Linked DNA regions of Astyanax mexicanus. The protein of the gene in region 1 purifies or fractionates together with the protein of each later gene. This does not show direct contact. Links are inferred from orthologs where the notes say so. Each region holds a gene or a part of one and is shown in the gene's direction. Other genes may lie near its edges.

What was found. Proteins that work in one complex are often made in the same cells at the same time.
Region 2: the proteins of ecpas (region 1) and psmc6 purify together in Homo sapiens (affinity purification with western blotting; 3 studies listed by BioGRID and IntAct, with this or other methods). This does not show direct contact. The link is inferred for Astyanax mexicanus from reciprocal best matches to the Homo sapiens genes ECPAS and PSMC6.

The regions. Positions count from the first base shown.
Region 1 is NC_064432.1:23,872,052-23,879,696, reverse strand, and holds the start of ecpas (proteasome adapter and scaffold protein ECM29), read left to right. Parts: upstream 1-4,579; 5' UTR 4,580-4,643; coding exon 4,644-4,665; intron 4,666-6,220; coding exon 6,221-6,351; intron 6,352-6,477; coding exon 6,478-6,594; intron 6,595-7,216; coding exon 7,217-7,335; intron 7,336-7,425; coding exon 7,426-7,572; intron 7,573-7,645. Other genes in the region: fbxo10 (F-box only protein 10), read right to left, coding at 818-1,408. UniProt on the Homo sapiens protein: Adapter/scaffolding protein that binds to the 26S proteasome, motor proteins and other compartment specific proteins. May couple the proteasome to different compartments including endosome, endoplasmic reticulum and centrosome.
Region 2 is NC_064408.1:87,378,869-87,386,567, forward strand, and holds the start of psmc6 (26S proteasome regulatory subunit 10B), read left to right. Parts: upstream 1-4,671; 5' UTR 4,672-4,733; coding exon 4,734-4,818; intron 4,819-5,484; coding exon 5,485-5,564; intron 5,565-6,487; coding exon 6,488-6,527; intron 6,528-6,613; coding exon 6,614-6,666; intron 6,667-7,186; coding exon 7,187-7,254; intron 7,255-7,699. UniProt on the Homo sapiens protein: Component of the 26S proteasome, a multiprotein complex involved in the ATP-dependent degradation of ubiquitinated proteins.

The DNA.
Region 1 (7,645 bases):
ACATGTTTACATGTCACATCTAAAACAGGAAGTGACATCAGCTGGTACTTCTGAAGATCATGGGAAGACCAAAACTAAGTTTCCAAGCTCATTAGTTTTTCTGTATATTTGATCTTATTGTAACTCTGACTGAGGAGCTCAGTCTCAACACTCAGTCCTGTTACCTAAATTAATTCTTAGATTATATTTGCTTATTTTTAAAATACAATTTTTGGGAAAAATCACTAGAATGTGCTCAGTGTCCTCGTGCTATTAGCATAGCTGCCATTTAGCTATTTGTCATGTTTTTGCTAATTCTATGCTCTATAATCTCAGATTTCTCTGTTTAAAGGAGAACTCCAGTGTGAAATGTACTTGGGTTGTAGTCAAACATGATAACCAGTATGAACTTTTGTGGAATAGCCCACCTCTGTTCAACCCAAGCATTCCAAAATACAAGTCTTTTAGTTGATGGTCTGAACAGGCTTACAATGCAAGTAATAGGGGCATAGAGTTACCCATGCATAGAAATGGCTATTTTTACACCATTAACAAACTAAAAGTATTTTCACACTTCATTGGTAGAATTTTAAGGGCCCTAACATTTAATCAAGGTACTGAGAACTTCGAAAGTGCACAGGTAGTTCATTATAAATACACCAAACTAGTTTTTTGGCATGAGTAACACTATGCCCCTATCAGCAGCATTGTAAACCATTGTAATCCTGTAGAGAGCATCGACTAAAAGCAATGTATTTGGAAAAAAATAAAATTAATACTTGTTTTCATGTTCTTTCCCAGTTTAAAACACATGTTGATCAGCTGTGAACTTTCTTACCTTATAAGCCACCGGAGAGAACCAGGCTGGCATGAACACCACGTTACACAGCCTGGCAGTCGGGCACTGCTGATCGAAGCTGATCATCAGCACCACCTCGCCCAGCTTCCCCTTCCCCACGATCTCCACCGGTACCTTCAGCGTGACCTCTGCCTGCTCCTCGTACACCCCCGGGTACAGGTGGATCCTGTCGTATGGCCCGGCGGCCGCCAGCGCCCCCCTCAGCGTCACGGCGCCGCAGCCGGCCTCCGTCTCCACCCGCCACACCCTCCGGTCCTTCCTGCGGCGGAACAGGTGCAGGCAGGCGGACGAGTGCAGCTCGGAGCCGTTCAGGGTCCAGGTCCGACTGGCCAGAGCGTGCTGCCTCAGAACCTCCCGCCAGGAGGGTGGCGCCAGCTGCGGCCGCCGCGGCCAATTGGGATGGCGGCACTCGGGGCAACGCAGGCAGAGCTGCCTCCACCGTGTACTGTCCAGACTCAGCACCAGCTCCCGCCACGCCCGGCACACCAGGCAGCAGCGGCCCAGGTCTGCCAGCGGCAGGTACGCCAGGATGAGGCGCCACAGCTCCACTGGCAGGCTGCCCACCTCCATCTCCACCGCGCTAACGCGCCTACGAAAGAAAGACAGGAAATTACGGGAATAGTGCTTCTTCTGATTACTATATCCTATTTATGCAATCTAAACTAAATAAAGTTTACACTACTATCAAGTGGGCAGAGCTTAAACACAACACTAAATAATCCACTTCTGACACCAATCTTCACATCTAAACTAATCATTAAAAATCAATACTGTGTTTCTTCAAGAATTGATCGAATCGAGCAAGCACAGAGTTAGGTGTACAATCCTAGACTTCTCATTTAATGTTTATTCACCTTATTCACATGTCTGTTATACAAATATATATATATATAAAGTTTGAGCTGCAACGATTAGTCGCTAATTTGCACGGTGTTGATTATTAAAATGTGTCAGAAACACAGAAACACACTCACACAGTTTACACAACAACACAGTCTGTGTCTCCTAAAGTACCAAAATAGAACATATAATACACATTTACTCACTCATTTTGCCTATGATGGCCATCTAAACTGATTTACATTGGTCTAAACTGATTTAGGTTGTCTATACTGATTTAGGTGGTCTATATTGGTTTTAGATGGTATAAGATGATTTTAAACTGTCTAAGATTATATTAGATTGTCTGGTTTTAGATGGTGTAAGCAGATTTTAGACGGTCTAGACTTATTTGAAGGTGGTCTAAACTGATTTAGGTGGTCAATACTGATTCTAGATGGTCTAGACTGGTTTTAGGTGGTCTAGCATGATTTTAGATGGTATAATCTGGTTTTAGATGGTCAGGGTAGTGGTCTAAACTGGTCATGTAGAGTTAAACACTCCTTATTCTGGTGAGATAACTGGTTATCCAGCTGCTGTAGAGCAGAGTGTAAGTTATAGCTGGTTGATGTTGGGAACACTGGTTTGGTCTCGCTGGTCTCACTGAGACCAAAACATTCCCTGACCTGGTCACAAGCTAAACTGGTCACCCAGCTTCACCAGTTTAACCACTCTGAGCTGGTGAAGCTGGTATTCTTCAGCAGGGATGGAGTCCATTAGACTAACCCAGGCTTACTGGACCGGTCAAGGTTAGTCCAGTTCAGTAAAACTCCGGATTAAAGCCCAGATTAATACGGTTCAGTCCAATTTACAGGTTCTGGATCTGATCAGAACCGCGTTCCCCGCAGCGCGCGTTGTAAACACCGTTACGTCATTACCGCGTTAAACCGCAAACCCTACCTTCCGCCGGTTCCGGTCCAATCACGCGTTCATCCCTAATCCGGTTCGGGTCCGCGGTTCGGGGATTCGGCCGGTTCGGGCTGAAGCGGATCAGGATGTTTTCCTCTGCTCTCTTCCCGCTGGATGTGGGCGGGGTCTCTGTAGTGGGCGGAGCAACGGGCGGAGTTGTAGGCGGTACCCGAGGTTACGTTCACACACAAAACCGGTCCAATAATCCGAATTATTCAATTCTAACAGTTCATAGATCATAATCTTTAGCCTTTTATGTCTCCTCATAATTTAATATTTCAATATATTTTAATATTATAATAATAGTTTAATCATTCTGACTGTTTATCATATGTGTATATTTTGAATTTTAAATAATTTTAAATAAAAAAAAATTACAGCTTAAATCACTTTAATCACTTTACATAGTTCATTTAATAAGGTTAAGCTAAAATAAAGAACTTCATTAACAAAACAAAAATATAAGTGGACGATCTTAAATGCAAAAAAAAAATTAGAATATTAATAAAAATAACAAACGCAAATACAACAATAAGATATAAAAATAGGAAAAATAAATAGTAATTCAAATAAAAATAAAAACAGGAAATAAAGTAACTAAAAGAGAGCTGCAGAGATGCTGAATTGGTCATGATTGATGTTCTACACGTTTGTTTTATTATATTTTAATATATATAATATATTATATTATAATATAAAATACTGCGACTGGATGGTTAGCTTTAAATATGAAGACAATGTGATAGCAATATTATTAATTGCTGAATATTAACAGTACGTGTCTTCAGTCACTTAAATATAATATAATATAATGTTGTAATTTCCTATTTATTTTTACATCTTAAACAGTTTAATTTTACCGAAACATGTATAAAGCCAGAGCTGTTTTATAGAAGACTGCACACTTTCTGTTCCCCCTGTTATGGCAGTAAATGACTCATATATGAGGGTGAATGGAGCTAAATAGCTAAAAACTCTAATTATAAATAGCAACTAATTATTAATACAGGGTATTCCTTTAATTCTAGAGAAGAGAATTTTAACAAAAAAATCAGAATATTGTATTGTGTTGTATTTTTTATTTTATTGCACTACTGCCACTGTGAGGTGATTGGATGGTGAGCTTCATACGAACCCATTAATTTTTGACTCAGTCTGGAGCGCCATCTAGCTGTCCATAAAAACTAAAACACGTTGTGTAGTGAGTTTTCTTCTCTCTACACGCTCTCTGACATTATTTTTTCAGAATAAAAGTCTGCGACAATTATTAAAAATAAATATGCAGTTTTATATATACACAGCTCTGGAAAAAAATAAGAAACTACTTAAAAATGACGAGTTTCTTTGATTTTACTAAATTAAAAAAAACTCTGGAATATAATCAAGAGGACGATAGATGATAACAAGCCATCAAACCAAACTGAACTGCTTGAATTTTTGCACCAGGAGTAAGTTATCCAAAAGCAGTGTGTGGACTGGTGGAGGAGAACATGATGCCAAGATGCATGAAAACAGTGATTAAAAACCAAGTTTAATCCACCAAATATTGATTTCCAAACTTTTTAAAACTTTAGTAATATTAACTTTTTTTGGAGCCATTTCTCATTTTCTGCAAAGAAATGACATTACGTTTATTTGGAATTTTAGTTTGGAGTTTAATTGAAGAAATGTTGTCCGTAGTTTATAAAATAAAACAACAATGTTCAATTTACTCAATCATATAGCTATAAATAGCAAAATCAGAGAAACTATAGTGTATAGAGCATAAAGTGTGTAGTATGTGTATAGTGTATTTAGTGTATAAAGTGTGTATAGTGTGTGTACAGTGCATAAAGTGTATAGTGTGTGTATAGAGTGTATAGTGTACAGTGTGTGTTTAGTGTATTGTGTATAGTGTGTATATTGTCTTGTGCACAGTGTGTTTAGTGTGTGTATATGTATAGACACGCCCCCTGCAGCAGCTGCAGTTCCTCAGCACAGGGCTAAGCTAAGCTAACCTAACTGATGTGACTGCAGTATGGCTGCGCAGGACGAGCTCAGTAAGTTCTGGGTTAATTAACCTGTTTAAACTGTATAAACTGCGGTGTGAGAAAGTTATTGTGATATTGGACGTGTTTACTCGCGGACGGCTGGTTATATACGTATTTATAAATGTGTATATTTATAATAATGAGTGTGTTTGCGTGATGTATGTGCGCAGGTTGTATAGGAGTTAGCCGATTAGCTGTGTCAGTAGCGGTTAGCCGGTAAGCTAGCCGGGCTGCAGAGTCATGCTGAGGCCGAGTTTAAAACCATTTAAAGCGGGATTAAACCCGCGGGTCTCTCGGTGCGGGGTTGTAGTCTGTTGTTTAGTGTTATTTAGTGTAGTTTAGTGTGGGGTGGAGGTGCTGGGTGGAGTGGGGGAGCCGCTGCTGGCTGTACTGGGGCTGTGGCTCCCTCAGCCCGGCTGCTGGATGAGGGAGTTAGCCGCTTGAGCTAATCAGGCTAATCAGATAACCGGCTAGGTTCCCGGGCTGCTGCGGGTCAGCTCCCCGGGCTGTGAGCTCTCTCCCCCGGTTACACACAGCGCTGCAGGCCCGGCTGTGCTTCTGGGGTTCCGTATAAAGCACTTAATAAAGTGTGGTAAAGTTCTAGTTTATCAGTTGCACAGGTTAAACAACATGTCTGTATAAGATATGAAAATACAGTAGCTAAACAATAATAAAATAATATTATTATATATCTATTTCTCTGCCTGCCTGTCTTTTTCTCTATTTCTCTCTGTCTCTTTCTATTGCTTTGTGTATCTATCTGTCTGTCTGTCTCTTTCTCTATGGCTCTGTCTGTCTCAGTCTCTGTCTATCTGTCTCTTTCTCTAGTTCTCTCTGTCTGTCTGTCTGTCTCTCTCTCTCTCTCTGTCTGACTCAGTCTCTCTCTATCTGTATGTCTTTTTCTGTATATCTCTCTGTATGTCTTTCTCTCTGTGTCTCTGTCTGTGTCTCTATGTCTGTCTGTGTCCCTCATTCTGTCTCACTCTCCTTCTTTATCCTTGCCTCTATTATATGTTACATTATTCTCTCTCGTTTCTCCCTTTCACCCCGTTCCCCTCCACTCCTCTTTTACTCTCTCATTCTCTTTTCAGTTAACCTGCCTCTCTCCTTTGCTCACTGTCTTCCTAAATTTCCTCTGGGATCAATAAAGTATCTTTCAATCTATCACTCGCTCTTCTACTGTCATTCTACATGTCATCTTTTACTTTCTCTTTGTCCATACGCTTTCACTCTCTGCTTTCGCTCTCTGCTTTCTCTATCTCAGTTTGTTCTACTTTCTCTCTGTCTCAGTTCAGTGTACTTTAAAGGGGGATATTCATATTACAGTCATACATAAATTAACAAACTTGCATGTGTACCTACATATATGTATATATATCTTAAAAAAGAGTATATAATAGTAATAATATAAGGAATAAATATAGTCATATCTTATCGAAATAAAAAATAGATCTTCGATAGAAGTGTTATATATTAATTATACAGATGAGAAATAAAACAATTAAGAGTGTATTAAATATATATAATAATAAATAATAACAGTAAATGATCGTTTCTCTCTCAGATCAGCTGGAGCGGGTGTTCCTGCGTTTGGGTCATGCCGAGACGGACGATCAGCTGCAGGACATCATATCCAAGTTCCTGCCGCCCGTCCTGCTCAAACTGTCCAGCGCTCAGGAGGGAGTCCGCAAAAAAGTGAGTACCCTCAGGATGCTTTCTCTCTTGCACTTGAAATGCTCTCATGCTCAGTGAAGTGGTGATCTGCTCCGTGTGTACTGTAGTACTGTAGTATAGTAAGCGTGGTGTTCCCCCTCTGTGCAGGTAATGGAGCTGCTGGTTCACGTGAATAAGAGGATTAAGAGTCGGCCGAAGATCCAGCTTCCGGTTGAGACTCTACTCGTTCAGTACCAGGACCCGGCGGCAGCGTCGTTCGTCACAGTACGTAACAGAACCTTAGTGATGAGCTCTGATTTATAATGTCCTATTAACCAGTAAACACTATGGTCTAAAATAATATCACAATGCTTTTAATGTAAATGTCATGTAATTTTCTGCACTGCAGTTACAGGTGCAAATTGAATATTATTGAAAAGTTACTTTCAGTCAGTAATTCCATTTAAAATGTGAAACTCATATGTTATATAGATGTATTACACACAGAGTGATCTATTTTAAGCGTTTCTTTCTTTTATTGTTGTTGATTGTGGCTTACAGCCAATGAAAACCCCCCCAAAAAAAATCAGTATTTCAGAAAATAAACATTTTATATAAGACCATTGGTACGTTTGGCAGTGATTGGAGAGATCTGTAATCTGCTGGTGTGAATTACAGCCAATGAAAACCCAAAAATCAGTGTTTTAGAGTTTTCATTGGCTGTAATCCATAATCACCAATCAACAATAAAAGAAAAAATGCTTAAAATAGATCAAGTAATACATCTGTATAATAAATGAGTTTTTCTAAATTACTGGAATAAAGTAACTTTTCAATGATATAATTTTTTTTTAGATAGACCTGTACGTTTTAGTTGTGTTCAGCAGCACGTTTGTGTTTCCTGCAGAATTTCACCATTATCTACATAAAGATGGGCTACCCTCGGCTGGACGTTGCCAAACAGTGTGAGCTGGCTCCGACGTTACTCACAGCCATGGAGAGCAAACCTGAACCCCAGCAGGACAGGTGAGTCCTTGTTCACATTTACCTTTATTACCTGTGTGGGTTATAATCTATATACTACTCTTAAATCGTTATATCTTTTTTTATTTTCAGTTTGATGCATCTGCTGATTCCCACTCTGTACCACATGAAATATCCCACTGAACCGTCTAAAGCATCGCCGTTCGTCCTCACCGAGAAACCCAAGACTGTCCACCAGCTGCTGGAGTTCATGCTGGATGTTCTCCTAATGCCTTATGGGTGTGTTTATATTTATAACTTACACTGACTCGCCAAACATCACTGAACAGGAACTAGAATGGTGTCCCATATC
Region 2 (7,699 bases), on another chromosome or scaffold:
TCAGGATGTTGGATGATCACCACTCTACCTGATCCCCAGCTCCCCAACTCACCCATTCCAAAAGTATGGATGAAGCTAAACAGCTCAATACTGCAGGTTTTTACCCCTTCAAAATTATCTCTACACACTTGCTCTAGGTCCCACAAGGCCTCATTATTGATGTTTTGGTAACAAAAAAAAAAAACATATAGGTATTATGTTCTATTTAAAGGTGAATTAAATAATTTAATATAGATATGCAAACATTAAAATATATATTGTAATTCTTCTTGATATCTGATTGTTAAGATATAAAATGACTGGATTTCTGCATATTCTTTGTTCAGGAAAGGAATTCATGAGGAATTGACCAAAATCCAAAGCAATCCAGGACAGACTGGGAGGAGTTTTGTCTCTCATGCATAAGTGGATGAAGGTATGTGTGTGTTGAAGGTGTTTTTATTAATGTTCCTGCTGGTGATAACCTGTTCTAAAAATGAAAGATTATGCAAGACTTCTTTAGAAACATTAAGGCATTGCAGCTAAACACACACACACACACACACACATTTTTTTGTTGGAAAGCTACATATCTTTAATCAGCAATTGTTGAAACTATTAATATTTGTTTATTCATTAAAGAAACACCTATAAAGTATAACGATAGTGAACTTTGATAAAAATGCTGTGATCATGGTTTAAATAAAGAATAATGATAAAGTGTCTGTCAGTTGTAGCTGCAGAACAGTTTTGCGATTGTAAATGTGTTTTAGTGTTAGTATTCCTGCATCTCTGGTTTCCTCACTTCCCTGTTCTAGGTGTCATATGGTCACATGAATTGTCACATTTTATTTTGTTCTAGTACAGGGGATCTTCAGAGTGTGGTTAAGTTTGCGCAATTATTACTTCTACTGTTTTAACTAAATTAAAGCATGGTTTCCCAGACAGGTATTAAGCTTGTTCCTGGACTAAATTTTCTTTTGTCAGGACTAGTCTTAATCCCTGTCTAGCCCTAAATGTGTAAAAAGGTACAGACAGACGAGACAGTTTAACAGACAGGACGGTGCAGTACCGATACAGTATAATGAAAATTCCAGTGAGGATAAGGTGTAGAGATATGTAAAATACTGCTATATATAGAACATACATGATCACAGCAGTTACTGGGGTAAAGCGAGTTACTGTGTGCTGAGTGTGTGTGTGTAGAGTAAAATAAGCTGTTGCAGAGTCTGGTAGTGGGGGCTCTGTGAGTTGAGGTGTCTGACTGCCTGGTGGAAGAAGCTGTGCAGATCCAGCTGTGATTGGATCGTCCACAACGCTGGTGGCTTTGCGGATGCAGCGTGTGGTGTAGATCTCAGTGATGGAGGGGAGAGAGACTCTGATGATGATTTTCTCAGCTGTCCTCACTATCCGCTGTAGGGTCTTGCAATCTGTTATGTTGTAGTTCCCAAACCAGACGGTAATGCAGGTCCTCAACATGCTTTCTACAGTTTCTCTGTAGAAGATGATGAACATAGAACCATATGTAAAAGGCTACCTGCTTCTGAATGATCATATTGCGGCTCGGTGTGTTGATAAGGGCTGAGGCATAAAGTTTTTTATGATGTTCACAGTCTGTTTTTGAGAGGCACAATTGTAACCCTTTTTTCGCATTTTATAATTGATATTGTTTATGTTTTGATTATATTTTTCAAGAACAAACAAGACACAAAGCATTTAAATGTATTTGATTGAAAGACTTTTCAATGAAAATGAATCAGTCTCTGTGCATATTTTTATTTAATATTTTTATATAAAAATATGACTTTAGAACTACAGCATTAAGCCAATAACAGCTTTGACTAATGCCAGAAATATTAAGACTAGATTCTTGAAGGTTTTTGTTGAACCTCAAAAGTCATATCATATTAATCAATGAATGAATGAATTAATTAATTTTTTAGTTTAAAAAAATATTAATTTCCATTTGTATGTTTTTTTATTTTAATTTCAAATCATGTCTTGTCCAGATAGTGTTCTTTAGTGTTTGTCACTCTAGACCCATAATTGGAAAACATTAGCAGGACATCAGTTCCAGACATTACCAAAAAGTGAAGGCAGATGGTGTTCTCTGAGGAAATGACACAGCTGAGGAAGAGTGCGGTAAGTAATAAATGGGAAAAATCCCTTTAGTGATTTTCTAAGAGCTTGGACCTGCCCAGGCACACATCACACAGGGGGATACAGCAGAATACAGTTAAATAAATTACTGCAGTGGATTAGTCATTCTGTGGATACAATGCTATTATCATCATCAGCAAATACAGCCTAAAACCCAATAAGTAGTGAAATAACATGTGGGTTTACATTAGAATTAAATAGAACTGGTCAGACTGGATCATACAGGAAAGGCTAATCCAGGGTGGTAAATCTGGATATTGTTATTTTCTCTAGTAGGAATGAGTTACTTGTAGAATATCTGAAACACTTCCACTTTCTAAAACTCGACTTCATTCGAATCTGATTCATACAAATGTGACTTCAATGGAACATACATATGCATAGCTGTGCTGGCAGTTAAAAAAAAACATTTACATATTAACAATCAGTTTGGTTTATTTAGGGGTTCAATTACTTCTGTTAGTAAAACCTAATCCAGTCAAGTAATCATAGAAAGTTCAGTTTATTTTAGTTTAGTTCAATTTCAGTAGTTTACTAGATCAGCTCATTGAGTTCTATTGTTTTCAGATGGTTCATTTCAGAGTCAGTTTAAGTCAAGTCAGTTCATGTTTCCTGACATAATCAATTGCCTAATTTACAGTGTCCTATTTAAAATGACTAATATACATATTAATATAACTTGTGGGGAAAGAACAATGTGTATATAAGAAAAACACAAGAGTTATAGAAAACTCTTATGGCCTAAAATGTTATAATTTTGCAGTCATGTACATTTACTCTGTTAGGCTGGGATCAGTTTAGTTATAATCAGTTTAGGTTAATTTTATTGAGTCAAGCATCCATTTCCCCACTGTATGTTTCTGGATCCTCTGAATTACAGGCTCATTAATTAGTCATTTTATGTAACAACAACATGAAAGGCAATGCAGACTCAATGAGCTGTACACACACAGTTCTCGTCTCAAACACAAATGTTTAGAAACTGTAAAGAGCAGAACTGTGTTCAAAGCTGTTTGTCCAGCAGACAGAGAGAAACAACAGCCCACTGTGTGGACTAGAACAGCAGGATTCCACAGAGCTTACAGTGTGAAACAGGAACAATGCAAAAGAATTGAAAAGTGTTAACAGGAAAGTTTAAAAATGACACGGTAACTGACGTCAGGCACTTAAAAAAGGGGGAGCCAATCAGTTGTGAGATAAGCAGCACTCCCATAGAGGCTGCTAAAAAATAAAAGTAAAAAGTTATACTATTTTTATATAAATGGAAGTTTGTCTTTTATAAACAAAAAATAAACACAAATAAAGTATGTGGCTAAACATAATATTTTAACAACAAATATAACGCATGAATATATGTTGACATGAATATAAAATAAATGTGTTTATGTGGAATTAAAGGAGCAGGTTCAGTAAGGTAGCTGCAGTCATTAGGTGTTTCATCATGAGGGACAAAGCAAAACCCATGGAGCTCCCGAAAAAAATCCTACTTGTTCAATGACGTGACTCAAGATCTTTAGGGGGTGGGAGGGTCACACCTAAGTTTTTTTTCCCTCAAACTAATTATATTTTAAGACAATTATGAGGGAGGAAATCAGGGAATTACCAACTCTGGCCTTTAGATAAAACCAATACACTAATCATCATATTCGAAAACCCACTTATCCTAGCTGACCACTAACCTCAATAGATATTAAGTCCAGCTTAAATGTTGTGCCTGCAAAGTTATGAACCATGTTTTAAAGAGGAACAGACTGTTTCAGAGGAAGATATATATATGTTCTGACACGGCTTTCTGGAGAACTACATGGATAAGCATTTATTCATCTGGTGTTTGGAGTGGCATAAACACCCAATGCATTCACCTTGATCTGTGAAACCGTAGCTGTTCTTAAATAAGAAAGAATAGCTCTGATTTATCAGTGCAGTTCTTCCTCTGCACTGTTTTAAAACAATGGTTAAATTGCACTCTGGTCTAACAGCGAGCGCTTTGCCTTTAATACTAAGGTTAAGAAGATGAAAATGAATGGCGTGTTGGTGCCATCTAAAGGCCAGAGCGGGTAAAGCAGCTGAGTTTTTTTTATCCCAAGAACTCCTACAAAAAAACATTCGAGTCAGAGCATTATTTTACATTTTTGCAATATTTTTTTTCCATCCATGTAAAATCCTTTGTATATCCTTATATCCTTTCAGAGGTTCCGTAAAACAATTCAACAGCACAGCTGGTCTGTGTATATACAATAAATATATAAATATAAATATATGATATTATTATTATATGATATTATTATTATTATTATTATTATTATTATATATTTTTTTGCTTTACAATAGCAGAGACACTGCAGTGAGAGAACACAAACAATATTGAGAAGTCTGTTAACTGAAGAATACAGTGTTGCAAACTAATGAATTAACACCACAAACTTATTAATACGAATCTTTTTTTCAACCCTTTAATTAATTGATTAGAACAGCTCTCAAAGGTTTACCTGAAAGAACCGATTCAAAGAATCGACTCATTCCCGTGCGACACATCACTAGCTAGCTGGCTAAAGCTAGTACAGCAGCAGCAGCAGTAGTATCGCAGGGGGATCATGGCTGACAGCAGGGAGAAGGGACTACAGGACTATAGGAAGAAATTACTGGAGCATAAAGAGATCGATGGGCGTCTGAAGGAGTGTGAGTGATCTATCTGAGGTTTTTGTTCCTGAGTTTAATCTTTAATCGTCTCTTCTGGCTCATTTCGGCTTCTGTTAGTTTGAATCGGCAGTCAGGCTCAAGTCGCTTTGTCATGCAGGAGTATGCGGCGTTAGCGTTAGCCTAGCTGAACACCCGTATTTCGACAAGTCCCGCCCCTTTCGCCTTCGGGATTGGCTAATTAGAAACTACGTCCTGAGCTATGATTGGCTAGTAGGTCCAAATCACACACAGTTTACCAATCGCAGGGTGCGAGGGATGGGATTTATCGGAATACGGGTGGGGAAAAAAAAGCTAGTGAACTAGAACAGTTTTACTAGCTAGCTGGCTAACCTAGCTAACAAACAAACAACCAATAAACTCGGTTTTAAATGGCTTAAGGGTGTAATACTGTTCTCTGATTATTATAAAAACCTAGATCAAATTGGGATTCAACACAATCTACCCGTTTTCTTTGGTGTTCTTTCTAATGTTAGTTTGGTTAGCTACTAGCTTAGCTTTCTAGCTTAGCCGACCGAGGTAGTTAACTGTTACCGGCTAACGCAACACTACACAGATAGAGACTTTAGACTAGCTAGTGTAAATTGTTTTTCCAGGACAAACGTGTGACTGAAATATCTTTACTGTAAACATTGTTTTATGTTTTAGTGAGGGAGCAGCTGAAGGAGCTCACCAAGCAGTATGAGAAGTCTGAGAATGACCTGAAGGCTCTGCAGAGTGTTGGTCAGGTAGGATGACAAATGAGTTATTTACATTATCCATAACTTCCATCTTTATTTTTTTTTATTATTTACAGAATGTTCACATTATTTAAACCACTATAGGTGTGTAACCTACTGTAGCTATGTTTTTGACTTCACAATATGCACAGCCTCTTATTTAGGTAAATTACTTTAAAAAGATTTCCAGTGTGAAGTGGATTTGTGCTGCAGTTAAACATGTAGCATAGGCCACTTCTGTTAACCTCCAGCTTTCCGAAATACAGTGCTTTCAGCTGATGCTCCCAGCAGGCTTAAAATCTCTGTTCTTACACAAGTATCAAGCTCAGAATAGCTTAACACTTCACTGGTATAATTCTGAAGGTGCTGGCACTGAGAGCTTTGCCAGCACACAGGTAGTTGATTAAAAACACTGTTGATTATGTAAAATTTGTAATTTCTTTGCATGGGTAATGTTATGCCCCCATCACTAGCATTTTAAGCCTTTTTGGAACATCAGCTTAAAGTGCTGTATTCCGGATAGCTGTGGGCTAGTTCACAAAAGTTCGTACTCATTATTTTTTACTACACCCCAAGTCTATTTCACACTGGATTTTCCCTTTATAATCGCTACATTAATTTTAATTTCCACACTTGGAGGACTGTTATTGATTACATAGCATTTACAAACCTCAATGGTTTTAATTGTTTGCAGTATATCTTATTTTTTGTTCTGTTTTTACAATTGTAAGTGTATGCAAAGCACTTACAGGACCCTTAGTATTTACAGTATATAAACTTCTATCAATTGTACAATACTTGTATTTCTTAATCTAATAGGAGGAGCAAATCTTTTTAAACTTGGCTACCTTAAAAATTAATGATATATCCAATAAAAACTGCATACAGTATACTAATATTATCGAAATATTTGTGTATTTCGTTCTTTTTAGATTGTTGGGGAGGTATTAAAACAGCTGACTGAGGAAAAGTGTAAGTGTTTTTAATTTACTCAGTATGTTGATTAATTTTGTCTTACCATTTTCAGAAAGTTAATCAGATTGTATTTGTCTTTGCAGTTATTGTAAAAGCTACCAATGGACCTCGATATGTGGTTGGCTGCCGGAGACAGGTAAGAGGCACCATATTGTAGTAAACATTTACTATTAAAGAACTGTTGCACAGGGTGAGACCTCCACAGTGCTTATATCAGGTCCTTTGTTTTGGGGTCATGAATAAATTTGACTCCTGCAGCATTTTAAACTTGAAAACTAGAGTTTATCTGGAGAAACAAAGTTTCTCATAATTTCTTAGCTTTTACTGATTGAGCTACAATGCTGTAATAGCCTTGGAAAGACAAAATTACAAGCATTTGTTTACTGATAATGTCCTGAGATTATTATCCTACATACATATGCATTGCTTTAAAGTACTACTGACAAAGTTGTGCAAAAAAAAATACTATTTTTCTATTCTATTTGTCTAATTAGTGCACACGTAAAATCTTCGTAACTTTTTGTGGTTTTCTCTTCACACTTAAGTCCTTCCTGTTTAGTTAAGCTTGCGGTTGCTATTTAACAGAAGGGCGATTTGAACTACATGACGACTGCATGCTTACCTTTTTTTTTCCTAACACACTTCATCTGTTACAGCTGGACAAAACCAAGCTAAAGCCTGGAACCAGAGTGGCTCTGGACATGACCACACTCACCATCATGAGGTGAGCAGATGACCTGGGCAAAACACTGCCAAACAATTGCTTTACTAACTCTAAAAGTAGCACCCTGCCAAAGTTGATCCCCCTTATGTCCAAATTTGTTGGGGTGAATAATTAGTGTACATGAATAGACTGATCTGCAAAAGGCATAATATGTAACATGAAACATCCTTTTTGATTTGTTGGATAGACCTTAACAAGCTAAGGCTTGTTCAGATTTATTTATAGCAAATTTTATTCTGATTAATAAATCAAATAATTGATTCCCACAAAGCAGATGAAGTCTTTTAAATAGTTAATAGTTTATAATGCAATTAAAAAATGACTGTTAAGAACGGTGAAGGTCAAGTGGAACCAAGTGAACTTGTAGAGGGAATTGGTGGTAGCATTGCTAGAAAGGCAAATCAAACCCCCTTTTGACTGTAAAATGCTTTTATTTAGCAGACCC